Linked DNA regions of Macaca mulatta. The protein of the gene in region 2 purifies or fractionates together with the protein of the main gene of each other region. This does not show direct contact. Links are inferred from orthologs where the notes say so. Each region holds a gene or a part of one and is shown on either strand. Other genes may lie near its edges. The genes, in order: RRM2, CCNF, CDC6 and NUSAP1.

Region 1 (4,325 bases), on a different chromosome or scaffold from region 2:
TCCCGTCGCACTCCGTGGGTCGCAGCAGAGGAGCGCACGCCCAAACCGGGAAATGGGCCGAGGGGCACGGGAGGTCGCCCTGGGGAGGGGCCGCGTAGGCGGGAAAGGAACCGGCGCGGGAGTGTGAACAGCTGAGGAGACAATGCGGTTTTGGCGCCAAGACGCCCAAGGCCGCCCCTGGCCCCTCTGCCCCACGCCCGTCACTCACCGGCTCCACGGGCTCCTGGAAGATCCTCCTCGCGGTCTTGCTGGCCAGGACGCGGGCCCCGCTCAGGGCTGGCGGCTGCAGGGAGACGTGTGTGAGTCGGAGGCGGCTTCGCTTCCCTGCCTCCCTCCCCGGTCCGCAGCACCCTCCCCGCGCGCTCACCGTGTTCTCCTTGTCTACCAGGCTTAGCCCCTTCAGCGGCGAGAGCTGCAGCTGCTGCGGGTTCGTGATGGGCGCGAGCGGGATGCGGACGGAGAGCATAGTGGCGGCGCAGCGAAGTACAGCGACAGGCCAGAACAGGATGGCTGGGACGCGAAGCACGGGCGACCCCTCGGTCCAGCAGCCTTTAAATCTCCCGTGCCGGCCCTTCCCATTCGCTTTGGCGCCCCGGCCCTTCCCATTGGCTGTGCCGTGCCCCCGACCCTTCCATTGGCTGCACCTTGACCCCACCCAGGCTGGCCGCGGGACAGCGCGCGATTTTCAAGCGCAGCGCGGGAGCCTCCGCCGGCGCCTTCCGGGGACCACCGGGGACACCCCCGTGGACGCCCCCCGGGACCTCCCGGTTCCCCCCGCTCCGTCCGCTGGCTGGGTCGGGGGCGCCGCCGCCCGGGCCTCCACAGGTCCCACGGGACCAGGACCGCAGTCCCTGAGAGTCTCGGCGGCGTTGGCGCGCGCGGGCCCCGGTTCGCCCGGGAACCGTTTGGGATTGCGTGAGGCGCAGCGATTGGAGCCCGCGGGCGCGCTTCCCAAAAGCGCCTCCTCCCAGCCGCGCCGCCGCAGGGCAGGAGACTTTGCCAACGAGGTTGGTGCAAAGGCCTGGAAGACGCTCCTGGGTCGGGGGAGGCGTTGCTGCGACCCTTTCGATCTGTGTCCCTGGGGTGGGAGTGCAAGGGCCCCGAGCCCTGACATTTGGGCGGGGTGGTCGGCGAGGACCCTACAGCCTAAAAGTTAGGGCTGCTGAGCCCCGCGGCTCGTTTTGTTGTGACTGGGACATGCGACCAGGCTTCTTACAGATTCGGCGTCCCCCTGAGTAAAATGGGACTCGTCACCGCGTGGGGTGTTAATGTGGTGAGGAGAGCATTCGTTGAGATGACTCATGTAAAATGTGCAGTCCTTCGTAAACCTTCAAACTCCAGGACACGGAGAGAAGGCCCTTGGTGCAATTTTCCACAGAAATCCTGTCTCCTGTCAGACCCCTGTCCCCTATTGTCACCCTTGCTTTAAGAATTGCAAACTGTGGCTGGGCGCGGTGGCTCACGCCTGTAGTCCCAGCACTTTGGGAGGCCGAGGCAGGAGGATTGTTTGAGGCCAAGAGCTGGAGACCAGCCTTGGCAACATAGTGAGACCCCGCCCCCATTAAAAAAAGAAAAAAAAAACTTGTTTTAATTGCAAACTGAGCAAAAATTCCTGGGAGAAAGTTCACAGAATGATTTTAGAACTAGGATTTAATGTACTACTCATTGGGCATCAAATATGCTGAAGAGGAGTTTGAAAACACTGAGGTAGAGCCTGGAACTTAGCAACAGCTTTCATTTAATTGTCTATGTGGCTTTCCGATTTGCCAGGCCCTGCAACGGCAAAATGCCAAAAATAAAGGAAGAGAAAGAAACTTTAAGATCCAAGAAGAAATCATTAACCTGAGAAAGCTTCAACAGCTGCACTCAGGGCTGTTATTGAGAGACTCGGGACTTTTTACAAAGCCTTTTCTAGATACTTTATAGAGGGTGGGGTTGGACAGATACCCTCCCCATCTAGGTCTGTTTCTCTCATTTCTTAAAAGTACTACGGACTTGTATTCAAAGTATTCTCGTGTTGCAGGGATAAGTGACCATCACATTCCTTACACAAAGCCACAACCAAAACTTTGGTGTAGCATGATTTGTTTAAAGCAACTTGCCATCCATTGCCAGTTTCACCCCCAAACACACTAAAGCATCCATCTCCAGGAAATTGGTATTTTTATTGATTACTTTATGGCTGATAAAGCTATTATCTAACAAAATTATAATTTCTTGGTGTAATACTCAACTCAGATTTCAATGTCCCATAATCAACGTCTAAAGCCCTGGTTTTGGTTGCCCTACGGCGCCACGTGCTTTTTTGCTCCTGTTAAACTCACTGTTAACTGAAATAGCCAGAGGTGGCTTCACTTACAGTTTAGTTCCTGGCCACGTAATTAACAGCCATTGTAGAAGGCGCGGAAAGATGCGTACGTGTTAGAGGCCAGGTGAAGTCGCCATCCTCCCCTCCCGCGCTGAACCTGAGTCATCTCGGCGTGGCCCTCCTCCCTCCAGGTCCGGCATCTTTGCCCCGCTGCGGAGGTGGCGGCGCCCACGGCCACGCGGCAATGCGGAAGGTTCCGCCTCTGGGGGGTCGGGCAAAGCAGCCACTCCCGGGAGGGCGCCCGCCGCCGCCGCCGCAGGCGCCGGGCTGCTGCTAGCGCCGGGATTTACTCCTTTTTCCGTCGGTGCTCGTTTTTTTGGTTTTATTTAAGTGAACAGACAAGGGTCTCGCTTGTTTGCCCAGGCTGATCTCAAACTCCTGGCCTCAAGCGATCCTCCCTCCGCCTCCCTAAGCCCCGGGATTCCTGGCGGGAGCCACTTGAGCGCGCGTTTTGACATCTGCATCTACACCATTGGTCTGCACGGGAGGCCCCGCCCCGTTCCCCGGAAGGCTCCTCTGCATTCCCAGCCTCAGGTGCCCCGCCCCGTTTCCGCTGCGCGCTCTCCCGCTCATACGCCCCCAGCCCGGACAGGTTTGCAGGTCCCTGGCCAAGGTTAGCGCGACTTCCAAAAGGCTGTTCCTACCTGTCCACCATTAGGGTGGAAAAACCGCGGCCCGGGGAGCTCAGCACTCACTGTGTACCAGACGCCGTGCCGAAGGTGGTCATAATAATAATTACGGCTGCAGCACCCACAGCCTCTGGGCACCTGGATCGTGTGAGGCTGGGTTTTTTTTGTTTTGTTTTGTTTTGTTTTAGTTTTTTGGTTTTTTTGTTTTGAGACAGGGTCTCGCTCTGTTGCCCAGGCTGGTGGCTGCATCATAGTTCACTGCAGCCTCAACTTTCCGAGCTCAAGCGATCCTCCCACCTCAGCCTCCCAAGTAGCTAGGACTGCAGGCATGCACCACTCTGCCAGGCTAATTTTTAAATTTTTTGTAGAGATGGGTTCTCGGTATGTCACCCGGGCTGGTCTTGAACCCCTGGGCTCAAGCCCTCCACCCGCCTTGGCCTCCCAAAATGCTCAGATTACAGGCGTGAGCCACCGTCCCACCGGGGTTGGTATTTTTAACCCCGTTTCATAGGTGAGGAAATGAAGACCTGAGAGGCAAGGAAACTGCCCAAGGTCGCACAGCACAACTGCACAGCAGAACGTTTCTACCCTAACTTTTTATTATGAATGTTTTCAACATACAGAATAATGGAACGATTGCTAGCATTCGCCCACTACCTAGGATTCAACAGCTGTTTCTATTTTGCCATATTTGCCTCATGGCAAATATGGCAGACACCCCCTCTGTGGGTGTGTGAGGCTTATGCTTTTTTATGGATCATTTGAAAGTGATAGATATCATGACCCATTACCCCTAAACGTTTCAGCTCCTAAAAATAAGGACACTCTCTAACATCACCACAATACCACATTTATCCCTAGGAAAACTAACAATACTCCAGTATCACCTAATATCCAGTCCATATTCCTGTTTTTCCAATTGTTTCAAAAATGTCTCATAGTTTTTTGGATTTACTTTTTTTATGCAGGATCTAATTAAGTACATGCATTGCGTTTGGTTATTATGTTGCTTTAGACTCTTAATAAAGCTCTTCCACTTCTTTTCCCCACGACATTGGCTTTGAAGTACAGGCCAGTTTTCTTGTAGAATGTCCCACATCCTACATTTGCCTGATTGTTTATTCACGGTGTCAATTAACTTGTTTTCCTGACCCCTGGACTCTACACTGGAAGTTAGGTGAAAAGGCTTTATTAGGCCCTGCTTGGAGGCTCACGCCTGTAATCCCAGCACTTTGGGAGGCTGAGGCAGGCAGATCACCTGAGGTCAGGAGTTTGAGAGCAGCCTGGCCAATATAGGGAAACCCCATCTCTACTAAAAATACAAAAAT
Region 2 (4,142 bases):
TAGAGACGGGGTTTCACGGTGTTAGCCAGGATGGTCTCGATCTCCTGACCTTGTGATCCACCCGTCTCGGCCTCCCAAAGTGCTGGGATTACAGGCTTGAGCCACCGCGCCTGGCCTTCTTATTCTTTTAAACACTATCTTTTAAGGGATGCAAATTTCACTGCCATAAAAGGGTACTTTTGGCCGGATATGGTGGTTTACGCCTGTAATCCCAGCACTTTGGAAGGCCGAGGTGGGCGGATCACAAGGTCAGGAGATTGAGACCATCCTGGCTAACATGGTGAAACCCTGACTCTATTAAAAATACAAAAAATTAGCCGGGTGTGGCGGCGGGCGCCTGTAGTCTCAGTTACTCGGGAGGCTGAGGCAGGAGAATGGCATGAACCCGGGAGGCGGAGCTTGCAGTGAGTGGAGATTGCGCCACCACACTCCAGCCTGGGCGGCAGAGCGAGACTCTGTCTCAGAGAAAAAAAAAGGTACTTTTCTGTTGACACTGTAATGAACAGAGGCAACTTTAGTGTGCTGGGAGACAGGAATGGAAATTTCTGTAATCAGAATGTCTTAAAGAAAGCATATGGTAATGGTAATGATATCATCCTTGTTTCCTTTTGCCCCCTTTTTTTTTTTTTTTTTTGAGACAGAGTCTTGCTCTGTTGCCCAGGCTGGAGACTGGAGTGCAGTGGTGAGATCTTGGCTCACTGCTTCAACCTTGAAAATGGTTCAAGCCATTTTCCTGCCTCAGCCTCTCTAGTAGCTGGGATCACAGGCATGAGACACCACGCCTAATTTTTGTATTTTTAGTAGAGACAGATTTCGCCAAGTTGGCCAGGCTGGTCTCGAACTCCTGACCTCAGGTGATCCACCCCCCCCCCTTGGCCTTTCAAAGTGCTGGGATTACAGGTGTGAGCCACCGTGCCCGGCCTCTGCCCGTGACCTCCTTTTTAGTCAAAGTTTTGTTCTGACAGTTAAGAACACAAGGCCTTGATGGTAACAGTGCTAGGGCTCATGCTGTTTTCATCCAGGGACTTACAGCTCGGACAGCCAGGATGTCCTCTACAGAAAGCCATTTCAGGATGTGAAAGAGCACATCTTCAGGGAGACTCAAGATGGTCAGGTTTCGGGGCCTCCTCCTTATTCTTCGCTTTGTAGGATAACAGAAACACTTGGCACACCTACAGTGAACCACTGAAGGAAAAAAAGACAGAAGTGTTGATAAGACGAAAAATTATTCTATATACATACCCTTGAAGGGAAAAAAAAAAGGATAAAAGTTACACCTGAAAATGATCTAATGGTTACGATTCCCTGTGCCACAAAAACGGAACTATGCTTCCTGTCCCAAACAAAGATTATGTAAAAGGAGTGGCATTGCACAAATTACAGAAGAGATCATTCATTTTCAAATATTCAACAAATATTTATGGCAAATAGCGCATATCATGTAACTTGGCTATTGGGAAACTTTCTGATCCAGAGCCCACATGACAGTCAGGAAGGGGAAAAAGCTGCTGAGGCTGATGACCGTTTTCCTTCCATTTCACTCTTAGGAAAACCCCTGGGGCCTTTGCTGGACATCTTTGCTTTTTGCACACATGACCAAGGTGCATAATGTTCAATAAGGATCTGTGGGCTTGTAGAGTCTGGTTTTCAATCCAAATTAGAAGGGTCAGCCCTGGAGAGAAGCCACAGGCTTGGAGGCCGGGGTAGTGTGCGTCCAAGTCAGCTCTGCAGAGTCTCAGTGTGCCCTCCACTGTAGAATGCAGAGTTGACAGCTACGCAGCAAGGTTGTTGCTCAGGTCCCAACACAAACCTAGACCTGTAGGTCTGTCTACAGGTGCAATCGTTAAAGGTGAGACGGGCTCTCCACCCACCAGGCAGGCAGCCCAGCCATGCTTCTCAGATGTGCTCTCTCCTCTTCCCACAGCCGGCTTTTCTAACTCCTACTCCAGCAACCCCTTCCTCACTCTAAGCAGATGACCTTAGCCCTTATTTCATAGAGAAACAGAAGCCCTCAGACAGGAACCTCAGGATCCTGCCTCCCCATCTACAAATCTACCTTTCTATCCATTCTTCCAGTCCTGAAAGGAAACGCCACTCCCCTCTGTGGGCCCAAATCCCTCCCCACCAGGACTTCCTAGCAATTGCTCCTTGCTCCCCTCTCCCGACCCGGGTCTTCCTGTCAGCAATTAAAAGAGCTGCAAAAGCCAAACGTATTCCAGGGCGACGAACTCTCAAAGATTCTATAGAGCTCTCCATAAAATATTCCTCATTCTCCGGCTCCCGGACAGATACTGTGATAATAGCTCAAACTACAGCTCGAGTTTCCTGTGCCTCATCGCGCGCGGGGCCGAACGCTGCTTTCCACAGAGCTAGGTCCACGGCCCCGCTGGACCGAGGCCCAGTCAGGGCCGGGCCGGGCCGCGGGATCGCTTCGACCCCACGCGCTCCGCAGCCCCAACCCCGACCAGGAGGCGCTGGTGTTTGGCTCCCCGGGACCCGATCGCCGCCCCGGGACCCGATCGCCGTCCGAGACCCGATCGCCGCTCCGGCAAAGGGCCGGAAAACGTCGCCCCGAGGGAAGGCGACGAGGGGCTCGGGCGCCCGCCGGGCATTTAAACCGCGCGCCCGGCCGCGGGGGCTCCCTGCGCCGGACGCGACACCCGCCCCGGGTTAAAGAGCTCGAGCCGGCCCTCCTCAGGCCGCCAGGGCCTCCCCTCCCGCGGGACCCACCGTCTGCCCCGCAGGGCAGGCAGAACGGCTGTGGGGCAGAAACCGGCGGGCATCGCCTCCCACTCACCGCCACCGCTCCCCATCGCCGCGCTCGCGTCTCTGTCGCCTGAGCCCGCCTGCGAGCGCGCCCGCGCCCCGGCTGGAGCGCGCGCGGAGCCCTCGCGCAGGCGCAGACCCCGCCCCACCGCCCACCCCAGTTTTCAAACGCGCCCGGCCCTCCCATTGGCCTGCCCGGGGGGGCCGCCGCCTGCCCCGCCCACGTCCCGCCCCGGGCTCGCCTTATTTACCGCCCTCCACGCCCACACTGCCTGCTCCGGGCGCCCGCCATTGGCCGCGCCAGGACGCGAATTCGAACATTGGTCGCTGACTGGTGGAATCCGCGTGGCCGCCCCGCCTCCCCAGCGGGGCTGGGGTCCTGGAGGAACGCGGCTCCCGGCCGGCGCGCAGGGGTTTCTAGGCGTCCTCTCCCGGCCGCATGGGTCCGGGCTTCGCCGCTGACCCCGGCGACTGGCATCTGCGGTGCCCGATGGGCTCCGAAGGCGCATGCCTGCGGCCAGGGGAAAGAGGACTCCTTGGCGTCCCTCGCAGTCGCGGCCGTGATCCAGCCTGGCACAGCCCCGACGTGGCGCTTCTAGAACGAGGCCGTGCCCTGCCCGGGTCCCGGGGTCGGTCCTGGGTCCGCGACCCTCACCCCCAGCCTGCACGGCCATCCTTTCCGCCGCCTGCTTCAGGTGGAGACCCTTGGGTTTGTGGCCGAGCCGCTGCTGGGCGGGGATGCTGGCCCGGATCGTGGTAGGGAAAGAGGAGGTCGGAGCTGGCGCTGGAAGTCTCCCCCGCGGAACGCTGACCCCTTCTTCCCGCGAATCGTGGCGCACCCTGGACGCCTCAGTGCCCCAGCCCCGGGGCAAGCCCTCCCCCTCACTTTGGCCAGATGCTGCCCCCTGTCTCGCCTCCTCGGCTGCTACCTGGTAGCTGCTCGCCGTGCGATCTGTCACATCTGCTCACTCCTGTCTTAGGCAGAGCTCATCCGAGCTGTCCTTCAGGAATCAGCCATACCCCACCCCTTTCACGGCACAGGCTGTCAAGGGGAAGACACGCAGCCTCCTGAGTGTCTGGTGGAGGACAGAGGGGCTTTTCCTGGGGAAGGCAGGGGCCTGGGCCAAGGCTGCCTACCCCTCCCTCACGCTTCCCTCAGTCTGCACCCTTCCATCCTTCTGAGTCCCCATAGAACCCCTTCAAGTACTGGGCCTGCCCTGGGCACACAGACAGGAGCCCTGGTGTGTAGGCTACAGCCAGCCTGGAGCAAGAGACAGAGCAAACAGGTGATCACAGCACAGGGCGCAGAAGAGTCCGTGGCCCCAGAGAGGGCCTGGAAGTTGGGACTATTCCCTGTCCTGGAATCAGGAAGCGGA
Region 3 (3,562 bases), on a different chromosome or scaffold from region 2:
TATGCCTGTCTCGGCCTCCAAAGTGCTCAGATTACAGGTGTGAGCCACTGTACCCGGCCTCAAGTGCTTTCTTTAATGACTTTTAAAAAATAGGGCCTATGAAAAAACTTTTTCTGTTGAAAGTAACTAAATAGATATTTTATTTTTGCTAATTTCAGTTCTGATTGCTTTTTTTCCATTTATGAACTTCTACCACATCCATACAAAATGCTTAAATGTGTGAAAACTCTCAAATATCTCCATTATTTATGAGAAGAAAAGGCATCTTTTTGACCCTAAGGAGTTGCCAATCAAGTTTAGGGTTAAATGTGAAAATATTTATGCTTGGGACATAAATTACCGAGGGAGAATCTTATAGTTCAAACTGTCATATTCTATGTCTTGTCTTAAGGTATCTAGAGATCAGGTTCTGGACAATGCTGCAATTCAATTCTGTGCCCGCAAAGTCTCTGCTGTTTCAGGAGATGTTCGCAAAGCACTAGATGTTTGCAGGTGAGTTATGGCACTGTTGCCTCCTTTTATTAAAAAAAAAAAAGAAATGCTGTTAATTGTCTCATGTAACTCAAGTGAATGTGGCTTAAGAGGCTCTGTTCTGCTACTTTTTTACGCTCAGAAAGGAGGACTTGTTTCTCAGTGGGGAGCTCTGGATTTCCACCGTGTTAATGTCTGAAACATTATCAGTCCATTACCTACAGAGGGAGAAACAAATGAGATGTTGCTGGCACTCCCTGTGGTGATTATAGATTGGTTAATTACATTTGTATTAAAAAAGACTCCAGTTTACTTTTCCATTAGCTGGTCTCAAGCAGGTTTATTTATGGACCTGAACCATCTTTGCCTTTAGACTTTTTTCCTTCCTTTCCTTTTGTGAGCACCCCTTCTTCCCTCCAGTTGGTGGTCCCCCATAGTTGTACTCCAGACCTCTTTCTCCCTTCCCATCCCCCTGCCCCTCCTGCTGGGGAAAGCCTCTGTGCTGACTGATGAAATTTCTTCCTTCCCAGTAGGGACGCTGGGTCCATTAAAATGATACTTGCTGTGCTGGCCTGCTGGTCCAACCTCCCCCTATTGCCATGCAGAAGACCCAGGTCTGGCTTATGGCTTCCTGTGGGCAAAGTACTTTGGAGAGAGCAGTGGGAGAGTAAGCTCTTCCTATTGCTAGATTGCATGATCCTGAATTTGAAAGTTTCCCCTAATCAGCAAACTACTTGGGTAAAGACTGCAACTATGAGCAATAGTCATGTAGGCTAGGGTGGTTTAGCCTACACATATCCTATGTATTTATAACTGAAGATATCTCTTTTAGGTTTGGTGTGTATGGGTGGTGCTGGCTCCCTTTAGTTAGTCACCCACACTACATATCCTCTCTCCTACCCATGACATTTTCTCCTCATCCAAGATGTTATCATTGGCTTAATGTATGATGACCTACTTGGCATCTATTAGGAGGAAACCATTGAAGTTTCTCAAATCTGACGTCCATGAATAATTTCAAAGCAATTAAGTCCCCTTATCTGAGAAATAACCCAGTTTTGTTTGGGGGCTTTAAAATTACAAAACATCATAATTTTAAAGTTAGACATAGGATATGTATAGGCTAAACCATGTTAGCCTACATGACCATTGTTCATAGTTGCAGTCTTTAAGCAATAGTCATTAATGTGCCTGCTTTTGAGGCTGGTGATTTGGTATGGTGTTTGGTTTGGCTCACACTAAATTAATTTTAGAAATTTTTTTTATAGGAGAGCTATTGAAATTGTAGAGTCAGATGTCAAAAGCCAGACTGTTCTCAAACCACTGTCTGAATGTAAGTAGTTTATCTTCTTCTTGTCTTCCTTTGTAACTGGAAGCTTAGCTTTTCTGAGGAAAGAGGTAAAAAGATGAAATGAACATAGTTAAATCCAAAATCACCCATTTTTGTGTGTGTCTGTGTTTTTAGTCTGTTTCATCTACTTTATTTCAATCTTGCCTGCCAGTACTATAGTTCATGCATTACTGGAAATGAGTTCCCAGGGTATTGCGTAAATGGCTGGGACAGAGTAAGTTTTCTTTCCAAGCTCTAAAAATGAAACTTGTAGACAATGAGGTTGGATCAGCTCTCTAGGTGCTTATGTTGCGTGCACTTTAGGTCTCAATATAGGTGAAAGCAAAGCCTGATAAATAAGGGAGAATTGGGTAAAAGAATTGTGAGGCCGGCCGGGCGCGGTGGCTCAAGCCTGTAATCCCAGCACTTTGGGAGGCCGAGACGGGCGGATCACGAGGTCAGGAGATCGAGACCATCCTGGTTAACACGGTGAAACCCCGTCTCTACTAAAAAATACAAAAAACTAGCCGGCCGAGGTGGCGGACGCCTGTAGTCCCAGCTACTCGGAAGGCGGAGGCAGGAGAATGGCGTGAACCCGGGAGGCGGAGCTTGCAGTGAGCTGAGATCCGGCCACTGCACTCCAGCCTGGGTGACAGCGCGAGACTCCGTCTCAAAAAAAAAAAAAAAAAAAAAAGAAAAAAAAAAAAAGAGTTGTGAGGCCAGAGGCCCGGCGCGGTGGCTCAAGCCTGTAATCCCAGCACTTTGGGAGGCCGAGACGGGCGGATCACGAGGTCAGGAGATCGAGACCATCCTGGCTAATACGGTGAAACCCCGTCTTTACTAAAAAAATACAAAAAACTAGCCCGGTGAGGTGGCGGGCGCCTATAGTCCCAGCTACCCGAGAGGCTGAGGCAGGAGAATGGCGTAAACCCGGGAGGCGGAGCTTGCGGTGAGCTGAGATCCGGCCACTGCACTCCAGCCTGGGCGACAGAGCGAGACTCCGTCTCAAAAAAAAAAAAAAAAAAGAATTGTGAGGCTAGGTGTGGTGGTTCACACCTGTAATCCCAGCACTTTGGGAGGCCAAGGCGGGAGGATCGCTTGAGCCCAGGATTGTGAGACCAGCCTGGGCAATATAGTGAGACCTTGTTTCTACAACAAAATTTTAAAAATTTTGCAGCCATTAGAAATATGAGTTCATATCCTTTTTAGGGACATGGATGAAGCTGGAAACCATCATTCTTCAGCAGAGTAACACAGGAACAGAAAACCAAATACCACATGTTCTCACTCATAAGTGGGAGTTGAACAATGAGAACACATGGATGCAGGGAGGGGAACATCACATGCCGGAGCCTGTCAGGGGTGAGGGCCAAAGGGAGGGAGAGCATGCGGGACTTAAAACCTAGATGAGGGGTTGATGAGTGCAGCAGGCCATCATGGCACATGTATACCTATGTAACAAACCTGCACATTCTGCACATGTATCCCAGAACTTAAAGTTAAAAAAAAAAAATTAGACAAGCATGGCGTGTGCCTATAGTCCTAGCTACTTGGGAGGGTGAGGCAGGAGAATCACTTGAGCCGGAAAGGCAGTGGTTGCAGTGAGCTGAGATCGTGCCACTGCACTGCCAGCCTGGGCAACAAAGTGAGACTCTGTCTCAAAAGAATAATAAGAAAAATTATAAGTTCAACTTGGGATAGATATCTCAAGCTTTTAAAGAAGTCTAGAGGGTAGAGGTAAAAATATCATACTGCTACAGT
Region 4 (3,404 bases), on a different chromosome or scaffold from region 2:
AGTACTTTGGGAGGCACAGGCAAGAGGATGACTTGAGCCTGGGAGTTCAAGAGCAGCCTGGACAACTTAGCAAGACCCTATCTCTACCAAAAAATTTAAAAATTAGCTGGACATGGTGACACGTGCCTGTGATCCTAGCTATTCAGGAAGCTGGGATGTGAGGATTGCATGAGCCAGGGAGGTTTGGGCTGCAGTAAGCCATGACTGTACCACTGCATTCCAGCCGGGGCAACAGAGTGAAACCCTATCTCAATAAAAAAGAAAAGCAGGACATAGAGCCAGGTGTAGTAGTATGTATGCCTGTACTCCCAGCTATATGGAAGGCTGAACTGGGAAGATCACTTGCAGCCAGGAGTTCAAGGCTGCAGTGTATGCTATGACTGTGCCTATAGAGAGCCACTGAAGCCCGTCTCGACTACTAAAAATACAATAATTAGCTGGGCACGGTGGCGTGTGCCTGTAGTCCCAGCTACTCGGGAGGCTGAGGCAGGAGAATTGCACGAACCCCAGAGGCAGAGGTTGCAGTGAGCCGAGATCGTGCCAGTACACTCCAGCCTGGACAACAGAGCTCCGTCTAAAAAATTAAAAAAAAAAAAAAGGCTGGGCGCGGTGGCTCACGCCTGTAATCCCAGCACTTTGAGAGGCCAAGGCGGGCGGATCACAAGGTCAGGAGATCGAGACCATCTTGGCTAACACGGTGAAACCCCGTCTCTGCTAAAAAAAAAATACAAAAAATTAGCCGGGCGCGGTGGCGGGCGCCTGTAGTCCCAGCTACTTGGGTGACTGAGACAGGAGAATGGCATGAACCCAGGAGGCGGAGCTTGCAGTGAGCCGAGATGGCGCCACTGCACCTTAGCCTGGGCGATGAGCAAGACTCCATCTCAAAAAAAAAAAAAAAATTAAAAAAAAACAAAAACTATATTTAAATTTAAAAAACAGGCCGGGCGCGGTGGCTCAAGCCTGTAATCCCAGCACTTTGGGAGGCCGAGACTGGAGGATCACGAGGTCAGGAGATCGAGACCATCCTGGCTAACACGGTGAAACCCCGCCTCTACTAAAAAGAATACAATAAACTAGCCGGGCGAGGTGGCGGGCGCCTGTAGTCCCAGCTACTCGGGAGGCTGAGGCAGGAGAATGGCGTGAACCCAGGAGGTGGAGCTTGCAGTGAGCCCGGATCGCGCTACTGCACTCCAGCCTGGGCAACAGAGCCAGACTCCGTCTCAAAAAAAAAAAAATTTAAAAAACAAAACAGGCCGGGCGCGGTAGCTCAAGCCTGTAATCCCAGCACTTTGGGAGGCCGAGACGGGCAGATCACGAGGTCAGGAGATCGAGACCATCCTGGCCAACACGGTGAAACCCCGTCTCTACTAAAAAGACAAAAAACTAGCCGGGTAAGGTGGCGGGCGCCTGTAGTCCCAGCTACGCGGGAGGCTGAGGCAGGAGAATGGCGTAAACCCGGGAGGCGGAGCTTGCAGTGAGCTGAGATCCGGCCACTGCACCCCACCCCGGGCGACAGAGCAAGACTCCATCTCAAAAAAAAAAAAAAAACACAAAACAAAACCAAAAAAAAGCAACACGTAAACTTCCAGAAATTGGGTCCCAGTTCTTTTTTGTAAAATTGCAAATTGGTTGGACACAGTGGCTCACGCCTGTAATCCCAGCACTTTAGGAGGCCAAGGCAGGCAGATTGCTTGAGAACAGGAGCTCGAGACCAGCATGGGCAACATGACAAAACCTCGTCTCTACTAAAAAATACAAAAATTACCTGGGCATGGTGGTGTGTGCCTGTAGTCCCAGCTACTCATGAGTCTGAGTTGGGAGGATCACTTGAGCCCAGGAGGCGGAGGTTGCTGTGAGCTAAGATCAGATCACACCACTGCACTCCAACCTGAGCAACAGAGTGAGATTCTGTCTCAAAGAAAAAAGTATAATTGTCAATAGCAGGTAACCACAGATGAAGGGAATGAAGTTGGGAATATAAATCAAACAATCTTCTTAAAACTCTTTGTCTCTGTCCTAAACTAGGAAAGCTAAAACCATGGGGGCAATCTAAAGAAAATAATTATCTAAATCAACATGTCAACAGAATTAACTTCTACAAGAAAACTTACAAACAACCCCATCTCCAGACAAAGTAAGTACATAATTATCCAGCTTTATAATTATTTTAATTTCAAAAGCAGCACCTTGGCCGGGCGCGGTGGCTCAAGCCTGTAATCCCAGCACTTTGGGAGGCCAAGACGGGCGGATCACAAGGTCAGGAGATCGAGACCGTCCTGGCTAACATGGTGAAACCCCATCTCTACTAAAAAAAATACAAAAAATTAGCTGGGCGTGGTGGCGGGCGCCTGTAGTCCCAGCTACTAGGGAGGCTGAGGCAGGAGAATGGCGTGAACCCGGGAGGCGGAGCTTGCAGTGAGCCGAGATCCGGCCATTGCACTCCAGCCTAGGGGACAGAATGAGACTCCGCCTCAAAAAAAAACACAAAACAAAAGCAGCACCTCTGAGGGATAGAGACTCAGTAATAGTGGTGTTTTAAGGGGAGGTTAGAAGTGGTATCATGGGCCAGGCGTGGTGGCTCACACCTGTAATCCCAGCACTTTGGGAGGCTGAGGCAGGCGGATCATGAGATCAGGAGATCGAGACCATCCTGGCTAACATGGTGAAACCCTGTCTCTACTAAAAATACAAAAATGAAAAAAAAAATTAGCCAGGCGTGGTGGCGGGCACCTGTGGTCCCAGCTATTCGGGAGGCTGAGGCAGGAACCCGGGAGGCAGAGCTTGCAGTGAGCCGAGATCGTGCCACTGCACTCCAGCCTGGGCAACAGAGTGAGACTCCATCTCAAAAAAAAAAAGAAAAGAAAAGAAGTAGCATCATATATAGAACTTTCTGAGTACATGTTCCAGTGTAATGGACTCCAAATCAGCAGGTTTGGGGTGAGGCCCAAGCACCTGCATTGTTTCCAAAGCTCTGCAGGTGATTCAGAAGAAGACCCAGATTCAGAGCACTGCTCTTGCATGACTCATCTGCCTCAACACAGGGCATGTGGGTATCTCTCCTGATACCAATGCCCAGCAGTCCAGGGCACCTACGTATCCAGATAGACATCAATTCCTCACTCCTAAGGAAGCCAGGCTTACAAGGCATCAAGGCCCTATAAAGAGGAGCACCCAGGACGGTCCTTAGAGGCTTCCTTCAGCATGAAAACCAAGTTAAAGCCAGAGCTCATCCTAGGTTGTAGCAAATCATGGTTGGGCCCAGATTCCCTGCTTGGACCCTCATGACACAGGGTTACCTATCATTTGACTCATGGCTATACATGACTGCGCCAAGGCCTTTGCTCGCTGTTATTAAGTTGGCTGAGTGAGGTGGCTCACGCCTGTAATCCCAGTACTTTGGGAGG

The links.
Region 1: the proteins of CCNF (region 2) and RRM2 purify together in Homo sapiens (affinity purification with western blotting; 5 studies listed by BioGRID and IntAct, with this or other methods). This does not show direct contact. The link is inferred for Macaca mulatta from reciprocal best matches to the Homo sapiens genes CCNF and RRM2.
Region 3: the proteins of CCNF (region 2) and CDC6 purify together in Homo sapiens (affinity purification with western blotting; 4 studies listed by BioGRID and IntAct, with this or other methods). This does not show direct contact. The link is inferred for Macaca mulatta from reciprocal best matches to the Homo sapiens genes CCNF and CDC6.
Region 4: the proteins of CCNF (region 2) and NUSAP1 purify together in Homo sapiens (affinity purification with mass spectrometry; 3 studies listed by BioGRID, with this or other methods). This does not show direct contact. The link is inferred for Macaca mulatta from reciprocal best matches to the Homo sapiens genes CCNF and NUSAP1.

What each region holds. Positions count from the first base shown.
Region 1 is NC_133418.1:114,701,974-114,706,298, forward strand, and holds the start of RRM2 (ribonucleoside-diphosphate reductase subunit M2), read right to left. Parts: upstream 2,852-4,325; 5' UTR 2,360-2,851; intron 1,774-2,359; exon of another isoform or gene 511-1,773; 5' UTR 467-510; coding exon 368-466; intron 284-367; coding exon 209-283; intron 1-208. UniProt on the Homo sapiens protein: Provides the precursors necessary for DNA synthesis. Catalyzes the biosynthesis of deoxyribonucleotides from the corresponding ribonucleotides. Inhibits Wnt signaling.
Region 2 is NC_133425.1:3,661,043-3,665,184, reverse strand, and holds the start of CCNF (cyclin-F), read right to left. Parts: upstream 2,845-4,142; 5' UTR 2,814-2,844; coding exon of another isoform or gene 2,798-2,813; exon of another isoform or gene 2,731-2,797; intron 1,186-2,730; coding exon of another isoform or gene 1,031-1,185; intron 1-1,030. UniProt on the Homo sapiens protein: Substrate recognition component of a SCF (SKP1-CUL1-F-box protein) E3 ubiquitin-protein ligase complex which mediates the ubiquitination and subsequent proteasomal degradation of target proteins.
Region 3 is NC_133421.1:64,677,243-64,680,804, forward strand, and holds part of CDC6 (cell division control protein 6 homolog), read left to right. Parts: intron 1-391; coding exon 392-492; intron 493-1,001; coding exon of another isoform or gene 1,002-1,248; exon of another isoform or gene 1,249-1,388; intron 1,389-1,739; coding exon 1,740-1,804; intron 1,805-3,562. UniProt on the Homo sapiens protein: Involved in the initiation of DNA replication. Also participates in checkpoint controls that ensure DNA replication is completed before mitosis is initiated.
Region 4 is NC_133412.1:18,723,386-18,726,789, forward strand, and holds part of NUSAP1 (nucleolar and spindle-associated protein 1), read left to right. Parts: intron 1-2,025; coding exon 2,026-2,134; intron 2,135-3,404. UniProt on the Homo sapiens protein: Microtubule-associated protein with the capacity to bundle and stabilize microtubules. May associate with chromosomes and promote the organization of mitotic spindle microtubules around them.